Drosophila melanogaster: one gene and its partners. The protein of the gene in region 2 interacts with the protein of the main gene of each other region in a pairwise test. Each region holds a gene or a part of one and is shown on either strand. Other genes may lie near its edges.

Evidence for each region.
Region 1: the proteins of aru (region 2) and SkpB interact in a two-hybrid assay, tested with the Drosophila melanogaster proteins (one large-scale study listed by BioGRID).
Region 3: the proteins of aru (region 2) and CG12985 interact in a two-hybrid assay, tested with the Drosophila melanogaster proteins (one large-scale study listed by BioGRID).

The regions. Positions count from the first base shown.
Region 1 is NT_033778.4:12,138,741-12,141,846, forward strand, and holds SkpB (SKP1-related B), read right to left. Parts: upstream 1,490-3,106; 5' UTR 1,245-1,489; intron 1,187-1,244; 5' UTR 1,185-1,186; coding exon 699-1,184; 3' UTR 555-698; downstream 1-554. Other genes in the region: CG18343 (uncharacterized protein), read left to right, coding at 118-417; Smyd4-4 (SET and MYND domain containing, class 4, member 4), read left to right, coding at 2,211-2,474, 2,531-3,106.
Region 2 is NT_033779.5:861,297-867,732, forward strand, and holds aru (arouser), read right to left. Parts: upstream 4,566-6,436; 5' UTR 4,531-4,565; intron 3,765-4,530; 5' UTR 3,613-3,764; coding exon 3,581-3,612; intron 3,499-3,580; coding exon 3,102-3,498; intron 3,043-3,101; coding exon 2,899-3,042; intron 2,839-2,898; coding exon 1,267-2,838; intron 1,203-1,266; coding exon 1,023-1,202; intron 963-1,022; coding exon 870-962; 3' UTR 553-869; downstream 1-552. Other genes in the region: CG13950 (uncharacterized protein), read left to right, coding at 1-61, 133-400.
Region 3 is NC_004354.4:17,881,933-17,885,792, reverse strand, and holds CG12985 (uncharacterized protein), read right to left. Parts: upstream 2,076-3,860; 5' UTR 1,986-2,075; coding exon 1,318-1,985; intron 1,154-1,317; coding exon 709-1,153; 3' UTR 555-708; downstream 1-554.

The DNA.
Region 1 (3,106 bases), on a different chromosome or scaffold from region 2:
ATCGAAATGCGGTCACACTAGACAGCTGATTTTTTCCAACTGGAAGATTTGCTTTGCACACTGGACAAAGGAAATGTCCCATTTGTCGGCTTATCCAGCATATACGTCAGTCTAAACATGGAGAAAAGCTGCAGTATTGGCAACGGACGGGAGCAATACGGCTGGGGACATGGCGAACAATGCGGCACGCAGTTCCTTGAATGTGTCTACAGGAACGCGTCCATGTACTCTGTTCTGGGCGATCTGATCACATACGTGGTGTTCCTGGGGGCTACGTGCTACGCAATACTTTTCGGCTTCCGACTGTTGCTGTCCTGCGTGCGAATCGTCCTCAAAGTGGTTATCGCCCTCTTCGTCATCCGATTGCTGCTAGCTTTGGGCTCCGTCGACATCACATCTGTTAGCTATTCCGGGTGAAGTGACCAATCTGGCGAATGCCATCGGGACCACGGCCTTTAAACTACATTAACTAAATCAAATATAAATTCCAAATTGAAGAACACTGTAAATTACATTAAACGGTTTGTCATTAATTCCTTTGTTAAAGAGCACTTGCCAACATTAAAGCATAATATTTTATTTAATTAACCCAACAGAACAATTGCTGACTCTTAACATGATCAGCTAACTATCTCAATTGAAATGTTGATTAAACAAAAAATTTAAGCTTTAATTTCGTCATGGTAAGTTGATGGTATTCATTTATCCTCACACCACTCGTTCTCCTTGCGCACCTGTTCCTCCTCCTGTGGCAGAAAGTCATTCTGGATGGCGAAGGTGTCGCGAATAGCCTGCGGCGACTTGCCCTTGATCATATTGGCCACCGTCTTGCAGGTGACGTCGAGCAGACCCTGGATATTCAGGTAGTTTGCCGCGAGGATCAGTTCGAACAGCGTGCCCTGGTCGACTTTGAGAAAGTCAGCGTCCCAGGATGAGATGTCATCAGTGCGCTTCTCCTTGTTCTCAACCTCTTCGGTAACCACAGGATCGTCCTTGTGATAGGTGGCCCAGTGGAGCACTTTCTTCAGGATCAGCGAGTTGACATTCGGCAACGGCAGCACACTGTTGTCGCTCTCATCGCCCAAATCCTCTATTGCAATGCGAATCGTTTCCGAGCACTTGGCGATCTCCTGATCCGTGTCAAAGATCTCCTTGTCCGCAGACTCCAGCCGAATGATGGGCATCTCTGCGTAAAAATTTTTATTTTTGCTTATATCTATATTTTCAATTTTATTCGTACACACCTCCTGCTGATTTGGATCCCAAGATTTGATACGAAATCGGTTTGATTTATTTGCAGACGCAGCCAAACAAAATTTTTAGACACAACACGATGTCACTTAGCTGTGGCCTACTGGCTAAAAATAATATTCCCTTGCCTTCAACTTGAACCGGACTGGTGCGGCGGCCGCCTGAGAACAGAGCGTTTGTTAAATAAAGAACTTGGCTGCCAATAATTCCCCGGATTCTTAGAAAACTAGAACGTCGTACGATTTGAAGAGGAAATTTGTTAGTGAAACGGCCGCCAGTGTGCACATACTCGGAATGGCTTTAAAAGATGGCGCCTATTACAGTTAATGGTGTGGAGACACTGTGACAGCTAGCGGTAAACAAAAGCTCAGTTATATTTTTTTATAATGTATATATATATATTTTTTTTAAACATATATATTTTGGCACAATTCAAGCGTGCTGGGCGTTGTATTATTTAAACAGAAACCTACAAAATTCTGCCTTTATAGTTAGTTTTTATCCTGTTTTTATTTAATGAATTTCAAATTTCAAATATTTTTGTAAACAATTTTAAGCTAGGCCAAGGGTTTGTGTCGCGGCTAGTGCAAGCAGTCAACTTGCGGCATTTTTTAGTACATTTCCCTCTGTGCTGGGTTATATATTCGCAGGCTATACTCCACACTGCTTCCAGCGGAATCGTCAAAAAAATAACATTAAAATCGCCGTGTGCATAATTAGAATATTTCCGAATAGTAATCGCCCGTGAAATCGCTAATTAGCGGTCAGCACTTGCGCCAGTTAAAGAAATCGCGGCACCGGCAGTGGGCCAAAAGAACATTTTTTCCGGCTGAAAAAAACAGGCGGCGGCGTCGACACGCGGACCGAACCAAAGGATCCGAAGCCATCCGATCAGATCTAATCCGATCCGGAGAAAATTCCAGGACACTAAGGACTTCCGAAACTACCCCGCACAAGAGATGGACGTGTACGACGTGAGCGATGATCTGATAAAGAAGCTGCAGGACTGGAAACTAATCGGCATCATATCCGGCAAGTTCAACGAGCTGAAGGAGAACCATCGCAAGGTTGACTTCGTGATGCGCGCTCTTATTGACTTCAAGTACATTGAAAAGATATTCCTGAATGTAACGCTTCGAGAGGACAAGTGCAACAAGCGGAGCGTGGAGTTCCGTATGCTGGGCAACGAGCAGTTTTCGCTCAAGAACAGGAATTACTTCCAGGTAATCATTGCCCCCTCAATCGGCAAACTTAAGCTAATCCCTGCGACTCGTTTCAGGCTCTAGAGCTGTACAACAAAAGCATCTGTTATGCCGAACCGAATTCGGAGCACCTGTCCATCGGCTATGCTAATCGGTCGGCGGTACTATTCGAGTGGAAGCGCTATCGGCAATGCCTGGACAATATCAAGCTGGCAAGGCAGGCCAACTATCCGGCGAGACTGAGCCACAAACTAGACAAGCGAGAAAGGGACTGCCAACAGCTACTCGATCAGCAACCGCCGGATGTGGTGCCCTATGAGTTCAAGCTCAGTTTCGAACCGCATGCCCAGGTGCCCTTCATCGCCGACTGTTTGGAGTTGCGCGAAACCGCCGCCGAGGGTCGCTTTGTGGTGACCAATCGGGATTTGGCCGTTGGGGATCTTGTGTCCGTGGAGGAGCCCTTCTGCTCCACACTGCTGACGCCGATGCGATACATTCGGTGTGCCACCTGCAAGCGGGAGAACTATCTGACCCTCATACCCTGCGACAGCTGCTGTTCCACGATGTTCTGCTCCGAGGAGTGCAAGTCGATTGCCATGCAAACCTATCACCGCTACGAGTGCCCCATCATTGACTTTCTGAACCGCATGTTC
Region 2 (6,436 bases):
GGTTCCACGTGAACTTCGATCGGACAACCGTGTCACGCAGCTACCAGCGTGAAGACAACAGGTATAAAGGAGTCCGAGACTCCAATATGCAAAGTTCCTCCAAGAGAATTCACCTTTACTCACTTATTCTAGTTTTGCCTTGAGCGACGAGGAGACCGAGGGCGAATTCCCATTTGTGCGCGGAAAGCTCTTCAAGATCGCTTTTGGGCTCGGGGATCGGGCTTTCCTGATCGCCGTCAACGGGCAGTACTTCACCTACTACAACTTTCCCGGACGCCCCTTCTCCATATCCACTCTGAAGTGCTTCACCAACGAAGTGGGCGACTTCGCCGTGCGGAGCCTGGAGTACCACTCCGATTCTCCGCTTCTGGCCCGCGTGGAGAAGTTGTCCATCATTTAATCGATTCGAGTTCTCGTAGTATGCTCTTTGTTCAATCGTTGGCTTTGATCACCGTACAGCACCAGTTAACTTCTTCTTGTGAGCATCCAAATAAAGCAAAGCAGCTCTCCAAACTACAATCTCCTCAATAATCATCAACCAATAGGCAGGTTCCTTTGGATATAATTTTATTAAAACAAATTATTGCCGTCGCCTCCCCTTTTCGCCTGGATGAGCATCAGCTTAAGCATCCGCCTCAGCAGGAGCCACGTGCTGCTCAACAGCTCCCGTCTGGAGCTCCACTTAGGTTAGTCTTAAGGTTAGTTCTGGTTTGCACACTCCTGCGAGCGAGTGCAAGGTATTGGAGCCAATCCGATCGCTAGTGACCAGGACTAGCATCCTAGACGGAACTGCTGATGTCTGTCTCTCTATAACGCTAGATCCTCACTACGGAATATGTGTATATGTATATGGTGATCGCATCTCGATCCTAGAAGTAGCGGAACTCGCCCTTCTTGCCCAGATGCTTGCTGCGCATCATGTCGGTGGGATCCGGCGATCGCTGTTCCATGCCGGGATTATCCTGGGTAATGTAGAGCGGTTAGCAAGTCCCATCATGAATTGAGTGACCAGCCTTACTCACCCCTGATCGCGATTTGTTGCCCGGACCTGTGGGACCCGTCGGTGGCTGCTGCTGTTGCCCGTAGAACTGGGCTCCATCTCCATCCCCGAAATTGAAGGGGGTTACAATCGTGTGCGGCACGTGGGCCACCTGACCCCGCATGTTGCGCGCCTTCCACCACTTTCGGGTATCATCAAGGATCTAAAGTTTCGAAGAGATGGTTATAGGACAGAACGAAGGATGGTAACGTGGGTGCTGGCCTTACCTCCAAGTATTCGCCTCGCATCACGCTAAGCTCCTTGTCGTTGTTGGCGGTTCGCGGATAGGTGACCAGCACAATCTTAGCGCCCGTCGCCTGCAGATCCTCCAGCCAGGACTCGAGCATCTGGTCGTCGCTGACATTCGGCAGGCCTCTGCCTCCACCGCCCAACTCCGACGAAGGCCCCGGACCAGCTCCTGCTCCGTACCCGTTTCCACTGCGAGATTCCCTCGTATGCAGATTCTGCAGACCAGCTGTGATGGCGCTAAGGGTTGGTCCAGCTCCTGGTCCGTGGCCATGACCATGGCCATGTCCCGCTGCTCCGCCGCCCCTGCCTTCGATCGAGTCGAACGACAGCTCGCTGCGGGCGTTAAAGTCAGACGCACTGATTGCGCCCGCCCGCTCTCTGTCGCGCTCCCTTTCCCGCTCCCTTAAACCGTCGTTGCCGTGGTGGATGGTGTACTTCTCGATACCCATGGCCATGTTCATCCCGTTCCCCGAGTCGTAGTCATCGTATCCGCCTCCCCCACGACCATTTAGTCCGGATCCAGCCTGGACCTCGAGTCTGCGCTTGCTCACATGAGCGGGCGGGGAATTTGGTGGTGGCTCCAGTTCATCGTTGATCAAATAGTCCGGTGACCAGCCATCGAGGAAGACCGGATGGTAGGATCCAACGTCATCCTTCCACTGATCTCGCGGGATCACCCAGGCATCGCCCAACGAGCGCCACAGCTCCGTTTCCTTGCTGGTTACACAGTTGATGAGCAGGTTGATGGCCTCTCTGGTCAGCAGGGGATTAACCACACGGGCCGGTAGCTGTGACTCGTAGTACGTGTCGCTGGAGGCCTCCACAATCAGAGCCAGCGGCGTGAAGAGGAAATGCACCAGTTCGGGAGCGTTGGGATCGTGGATGTGCGCCTTCAACTTTGCCAGCAGGTTAAATGACAGCTTAAACTTGGCAAAGATGTCCACGAACTCCTTCTCGTGGGGAGGCCGTGTCCTCAAAGTGAGCAATCCCTCCCCCGGATCCCTTTTCTTCGACTTCCGATTGCGACGACGGCGCTCGAGCTCCCGGGAAGCGGCGGCGGCGTGCTGAAGACGAGCTATGAACTTCTCGATGTCATCGAAACAGTGATTCAGCACAGCCACATCCCGCTCGTACTTCTCGCTGGACGTGGAGCTAGTCTCATCGCGCTCCGTTGCGCCACCGCCCCCAATCCCACCGTGTTCCGAATCCGTCTCGCCACTAATGTGGGCAACGTCATCGCCAGAAACTCCTACTCCGGCACGGATTCCATACTGTTCCATGCTGCTCCTTTGGTGCATGTGATGGTGGCTTTCGCGCTCACGGTCTCGATCACGCTCCCTCTCGCGCTCTGCCCGCTGCTCCCTGTGCTGGTGCAGCTCCACTCTACTATGCGACGAGGACGAGGAGGTTTTGCTCATCATCATGGCCATGCTGGAGGCTCCTCCGCCTCCTGATTGAGTGGGTGTGGCACCGCGCTGCTGCGTTATCATCTTGCCGCTTCTCAGCTGCTTCAGATCCTCAACCAGGTGAACGGCGGACACACTTTGTGACTGCAGGGATAAATCATTTGAATGAAACTGTCATGAGACAGAAGCCTCACTAATTCTCACCTGGAATATGTGCATCTCGGAGCGAGAACCACCGCCTCCGGATACGATAAAGACCAGAATGTTGTTGTATAGCTCCATGGCGTCATTCGAGGTGAATGCGGTGGGCTCCTGAACCAAGGAGGCGGGGAATCTTTCGATTATGTTCTGTAAGGCAAGGATGAAGATGAGTTCCATAAGGATCTTTCCCAGTTTGTGAAACGTACCCCTGTTTCATAGTCCATAATTAGCACCCACTGATAGTCCAGGCAGAGCTGCATCTTCTGCGACCAAATACCCGTGGTCTTCTCCAGCTGAAGGAGGCGACGCATTCCGTCCGCCGGATACACAATGCCGGACTCCTTGTTGACCGTGAAGGTGGCCAGGTGTTCCAGCAGGTAGGTGGGCTTGTCGTGCAAGTCACTCTCCAGACGCTCCCGCTCCTCGCCGCCTCCGCTGCGATCGTCTCCGGAATAGTCTCCTCCTCCGCCGCCGCCTCCATGGGCACCGCCTCCTCTTAGGCTTCCGCTACTGTTTCCAGCACTGCCGCCTCCGTTCGAGTGGTGGTTCACCATGGTGTCTCCCAATCCCGGTACAGGCTTCGATCGACGTCTGAAGCTCCGTCTAAAAATAAAATTTTTTCACATCATCATCATCGTCAACAATTTTGTATATCGGTCTTTGATTCGTTTAAAATATAAGTTACCGTTTAAATGATGAACTTAGTAGCTTAAACATTGATTAAAAGTTTTGATCGTTACCAACTTATACTTTTGCTTCTTAGGTCGAGTTGAACTATCGTCATTTGAAAATAATATTTAGAATTATGTGTATGCTTTTAATAATCCCATTTAATCGCTTATTCCAATGACTAAAACATTATATCGTGACTGCTGTCGAAAAACATGTTTAACTTGATTAGAATAGTATTCCCAAAACTAAATTTCCTATTGGCAGGGGTGTGGTTAAGCCCCTTGGAAGTCTGGTTCCCAATTTGGTCTCTCAAGACCTTAAAGCCTCCGCTGACCGAGTCTTCGAGCTGAAATCTTATGAGTGTCGAATACGAAAATTGGTCCTAAAGTATGTGTTAGATCATTATGCTGTGTTTATTTTGTGCAGCTGAGACTAAGTCCCTCTGCATCCGAAGGCCCCTAATCCCGCCAAGCCACTTGGATATTGCGCAGCCAATCGTCTCTGACTCAGACCGCATTCCGATTCCAAGCCTCCACTAGCGTTGGCATACACACTCCAAGCGATCCGCACATGGCCGCAATTATTCTCAAACTTTAACATTTCGTTGTTGGCTTGGATCAGCATTGGAATTCAAAAATCGCGCTACTTCCACTTCCCCAGGTTCTCCTCTAAGCTCGGTGTCTCCACTTTGACTACACAGAGAATATCTTTGGATAGTTTACTTCCGATTATATTCATCTTATTTGTATTAACAGCAGCAAATTGTATTGCATTGTAGATGTAATAGAGAGTAATTGTAGAGTAATAGCTCTTATCTTCAAAAATTAGGCCAACTATGGTTCTATGTCACAGTAACATTCTTTTCAACACTCGGATAAATCTCTCTTATTTTTTCTGTGTAGCCAGTGAACACACCTGCAAAAGACACACACACACACGTAAAACTGAGATTTGCAAACACACTTTCTCGCTCCCTCTCGCTCTAACCCTCGCAGACTCTATCCAAACCGCTCCCTCGACTCAAGTGACAGCAACAACTTTTCCGCTGTTTTAGGCTGGGCTCAGACGCCGACTGCGACGCGGGCAGCGGTGTCGCATACCTATCTACACTAAGCAAAAATCGCTACTGTTTTTATAAAGATATTGAAAATCATTATAATAATCCTATGGCGAGAAAGTCTCTAGAATGTAGTTCTAACCATTTTTAAATGTTAACAACATTTTCCATGATAGAAACACCCCCAAGTTTGTCGATTGTTTTCAGTGTATCAATCCAGCAGTGTCGCAGGGTCAATGGACAGGGGAAAGGGGGTGTTGGGTGCTTGTGTACTTGCAAACAGGTGAAAGAGAAACTGCAGAGGGGGTCAGCTGGAGGCACTATCTGCTTACGATCTTGTACAAGCCAAAATCGCAGTAAACAAACAAGCGAAGTGCACGTAAAAAAGAAAACACTGACCCACTACACCCCTGGAAATGTTTTGTTTTCGTTAAGTTGCGCCGCTGTGTTATATTTCAGCGTTTTACTGTTCGTACAAGCCCCAAATTGCATCACACTTGTGGAATTTGACAGATTTGTGTTTTCGCTCCTAACTCTACAGCAGCTTAGAGGCCAATGACGAAACGCGATAAACATTATCGCACTTGGGTAACATGGAAATAGTTGGGCTTGCATAAATCATGCTTTAGAGAAAGTACTAAAGCTGCTGGGTGATTTGAAGTTAAGTTAAGTCATCATAAACATCTACAAAAACATTATGCTAAATGAAATACATATATGTTTATAATATAAGTATTACTACTTTTGTACTTCTATAATCTTGAAATATTTGCAATCCACACATATGTATCTATGCATCTGTAAATAGGGGAAAATTATAAGCCTCGGTAAGGCAATCTAAGATACATAACTGCACTGGTATCTAAGAACTCCCCGACAAGAACCATAAACCTGGAGACATGCCCCAAGCATAGCTTCCATTCAGGTGAAGATAATTAATTGGGTCCTGATAAGCGTGAGATGGGGTGTTAGAGCCTCAAATAATTCAGACAGCTGGGATTTAGATAAAACGGCGGCGTGCGGTACACTTGCTTTTTTATTTTATCTCGCATACTTTTTGGTTTACGAAGCAAATGGCAAAACAACAAATGACAATAGTTGTTTTTGCTGTTCTTTGGGTGGAAACCCGCTCGTTAGATGGTGGTGGGCTGGAGGGGGGTGGAGAGACATCGACACCCCGATCCACACTATTGTCGTCCCCCTCGCGCGCATGCGTGGCAGATAAGCTGACGTCTTTGCTTGCGCTGGTGTGTGCGGCTTGAAAAGGTATTTGTCTCCGTGTCTCGAGCCCCCCGGCACCCGCCACCCCCTCGCCTGTTGCTGCAACTTTAGTTTTTGACCGACCGCATTTTTTAAGCTTTCTTTTCCACCTGTTTTCCGTTTTCCTCTCTCACTGTGCGCTGTTTATATTCCACGAGCCTCTCTCAGACACACACACACACGTCGCCTATAAGCCGCACTCACACAGGTGAGGCTTCACAGTAATGTGCGAGCGCGGATATACAGTGGACCCTCAAATAAGTAATCTAATTGAAAATAACATCCTTGAAGCTCTTTAGGCAATTATTTAAATTAATAATCTAACCAATTTCAAATGATTGAACTTAGTATATGTTCCAGATTTCCCGCAATCGAGTATTACTTCACCGACGCATTACTGTATGTACAAAAGTGGGAGCGGCGGCAGGTTTCGTATTGATTTTCAATGCTTTGTTCAATTCATTCACTAATTCACAGACACAGGCTCAATTCGCTGTATGTATTATTCTAATTGACCGCATTTTCCGGTGAAATGTGTGATATTCATATGTA
Region 3 (3,860 bases), on a different chromosome or scaffold from region 2:
CTTCTCACTCTCTTCCGTTTCGAGTTCCATGAAGCGACGCCAAAATAGCAATAAAAACAACGACGCAACAGAGCCGCAAAAGGTGGCAACCCTGCTTGCGTTGCACTTTTTACACCCAACCGCCCACAATTTTTCCAAAAAACAAATACATAAGGGAAAAGGAGGAAAAATCCAAACAGCTGGCAGCCTCGCATTGGCAGCTGTGATTTTCATTCGTTCTTCCGCTGGACAAGATGGCTTTTCCACACTATCTCCTTCTCTATTCCCCCTCCCACTCTCCTTCTCCTCTTTGCGATCGTGTTTCGTTGCGTCTTGGCCTTGCACTCATTTCCCATTGTTATTGTTTATTTCGCAAGAATTACGACACTGTCAGGCGAATTTGTTGGTAAACAATTGTGTATTGAAGCAGCTACGGTGGTCACTCGATACGGGGAAGATCTTTAATATGTACATAACTGACAATACATTAATGATTTGTAATGATATGTGCAAGCTATTTAGTACGATCTTAAAAGTAGGAAATAAATTAACAAGAAAACAAGGATTATACAACTCGCATTTAGGTAATACTTCATATTTACGCTCAAAAAGTGAAACTGAAATTGTTGAAAAATCTCGAAACTCTTATCCAAATAGAGTTAAAATAATTTGCAGCGTTTAGAAAAACAGAATTGTGGACGTAGCATCCGTTAGTAGGGAGCGCATTTGTTAGTACGAGTGATCCCCGTACAGTGAATTCCCTTGATAGCGATCCAGTCCGTTCAGGATTTTCTCCCGCCGCATTCGCTGTTGCTGCCGTCGGCGCTGCCTGTAGAGATCCAGGAGAGCATTGCAGGTGTTCCTGTCGAGTGCGTAACCGCGCGCTCCATTGGCCCTTATGGCGACAGTGGGTAGGCGGTGAACCGACGACTTGTACAGCAAACTGCCGGTGCCGACCTTTTGCTTGGCCTCCACGGCGGCGGATGCGGCGCGACAGGCCGCCTCCTTCACCTGCTCGTACTCCGACTTAGCTTGCGCCACCTGGCGGGCCAGGCGGTCACCACGTGCCTTCGCCGCCGCCAGCATTTGGTTCTTCTCCTCGATATCCATGTTCGACTGGTCGATTAGGCTGTCCATTTCCGACAAAATGCCACTCGTCTGCTGTACGAGGGCCCTGAAAACATTAGTAATCGAAAAAGCATTGATATTAAAAATCGATATGTTATCGCTGGTAGATATTATGATAGATATAACGATATAATTGTTCCGCTTTTAAATTGTGTAGATAGTTGGATGGATTGTGAACAATATTGAATATTGAATATTTATCAATTATACCTGAATGTTTCGGCTTGAACCTCCGCTGCTTTGACCACGGCACAGGAGGCCTCCACGTTCGTCTCACTGTTCTGCAGCGAGCAGCTCACCTGTCCGACCACCTCCTCGGCATCCCGGATCTCCCTAGCGTAGTTGTCCACCATTGCCTGTTTGCCCTCGAGCACCGCATCGGCGGCACGGGCAGCGGAGATGGCCTTTTCCGCCAGCTGCATCTTCGCCTGCCGCGATGCATCTTGAGCGGCGGCCGCCTGTGCATCATTGGCTGCCTTGGCCACCTGGGCGGCATTCTGGGCAATGTGGGTGGCCTTCAGCCGCGAATTGATAATCTCGTCACAGGAGTCACAGTTGTCCCTATCTCTAATATTATTCCTGTCTTTGTCCCGATCCCTGTTTCTATCGCAACCCCTATTTCGATCCCAATCTCGGCCTCGATCCCGATCAATATTGCGATCTTTTTCTCGGTCCCTAGCGCTTTCGTCCATGCTTTCACATCCAGATTGGTAGGACGGTCTTGTGGTGCATCCCAGATAAGGGAATGGCACCACTGTGGCCCCCGAACTACCATTCCCATCGCCGTTGAAGCCCTGGGGAGATATGTCATCGTTGGTGTTGTCCAAATAGCTAGCCAGGGAGGCGTCGTGTTCGTTGTGGGGCTGGTCGAAGCTCATCGCACGGACACTCACAATGCGGAGGATGATAAGGAGCAGGGTATATGGTGGAAATATATACATTTTGAATCCGGAATTTGAGGAAAGCGACTCAGGCTGCTGCTTTCAAAACTACTAGATATTCCATAGAATATATACATATTTCAGGGTATTTTGCGATTCTTTACAGTTGGCTGGCTTTCTAGTACTTTCGCATAGTATCAGTTTAATTGATGATGGGAACCCCTTAACTTACCGTCTAAAAGAGCTAGAACGTATTTGTGAAACGGAAAAGCAATTGTTTGCCCTTTAACGATTTTTTAATTGAGCTGAGTGGTTGCCCATACTTTTCCACCAGCGCTTTTCCAGCTTTCCCATTTCCCATTGTCCTGCAGGATAAATGGCTGCCATAGCGATGGGTAATCAGCACCTCAGTTGGCAGCTTTCGCACCTTGCTCACCTTTCGCACCTTCTTTCTCCCTTTGCCCAATGCAGTGTAAATGCGTATCAAGAATACTTCATTAGTGCCCAATTGCGGCGCAATTGCGACGCTGACGCAGCCAACTGGCTGGCTAACTAAGTATCTAACTAGCTAGCGGCTAGCTGACTAACTAGCTAGCTGGTTAGCTGACTAGCAAGCACGTGTGGCGAGCGGAGAAAGGGTAGAAAGCGGCATAGGTGTGGGTGGGCTGGGAAAAGTCGCACTTTATCACAACAAACCAGATGCTAAGCACGTGCTGCCATTTGTTTTGGTTATTATTATTGTGATTCCAGTCTCTAATCAGTGCGGCCAAATAAATAAGTGTGCGGAAAACAGAAACCATGAATGCAGTTAACTGGCGGTGGGGAAAACGCCACCTGGCGGAAGTAATATCAACAATTGCAACGATCTGTAGATACAGATTCATAGATACATAGATAGCGCTATAATAGATATTTGCGTATTTTTCATTTACACTGAATATACTAACATTTATTCCGTGAGAGAATTCAAATTCTTCGTTGAAATTACGCATAAAAGTCAGGGAAAACATGCTATCCGCATAATTGATTTAAGATTCAAGATGAGTTATTTGAAAGATGAAATTCCATAGATGCAGAGGAAAAAAACGTTTTTCGGGCAACACATTATTAAGTGAAATTCATGCCGGCCATTCAGTTCCTTTGTTATATATATATATATATATATATATGTACATACATGGTATATAGTATCGTTATTGTAGTCTTCTTGTTCTTGTTCTTCCTGCATTCATTATCATTGTTGTTGTTGCTGCCGACTGGTCACCAGTTTACTGCAGTCTGCTTGCGAAACTGAAATTTTCAATGCCACTGTCAAAGCTGCGACGTCATCCGTCATCAATGAATGCGCAGTTTTCAATTACCATACAAAATACAAAACAGTCAGTACAGTGGCGGAAATAGGGAATGATACGGCCATGTTCTCTATAAGAAAGTTGCAAAATGGCAGAACGTTCAATTCAATTGACAGCAAGTGTGCAAGGGAAATCATACACTTGTTTTCCAATGTGATCTTATGAGTATCGCAAACTATGAAAATATGGTATCGTTCGCTCGAATAGATTTAGAGACTTTATAATACAAACCAAATGCTCATTTTATGTTCTTTTTGATTTATAGAGAAGTAAATTTAATCATTGCCAACATCATTTATGTTTTATTACCACATTTTATCATAATATTGTGCATTTGATAAGTTTTTATTTAACGCGATCTTGAGAGATCACAAAAACAACTTCATGAAAGGTTCTTTTTTAATTGCCGCTTGTTGTCTTTTGTATTTTCGCTTGCCACTTGTTAGTGTTTATATTTTTTATTTGCACATTTTTGCGCTATTGCGTATTGAGCAAAAATCAACTTTATTAACTGACCTTG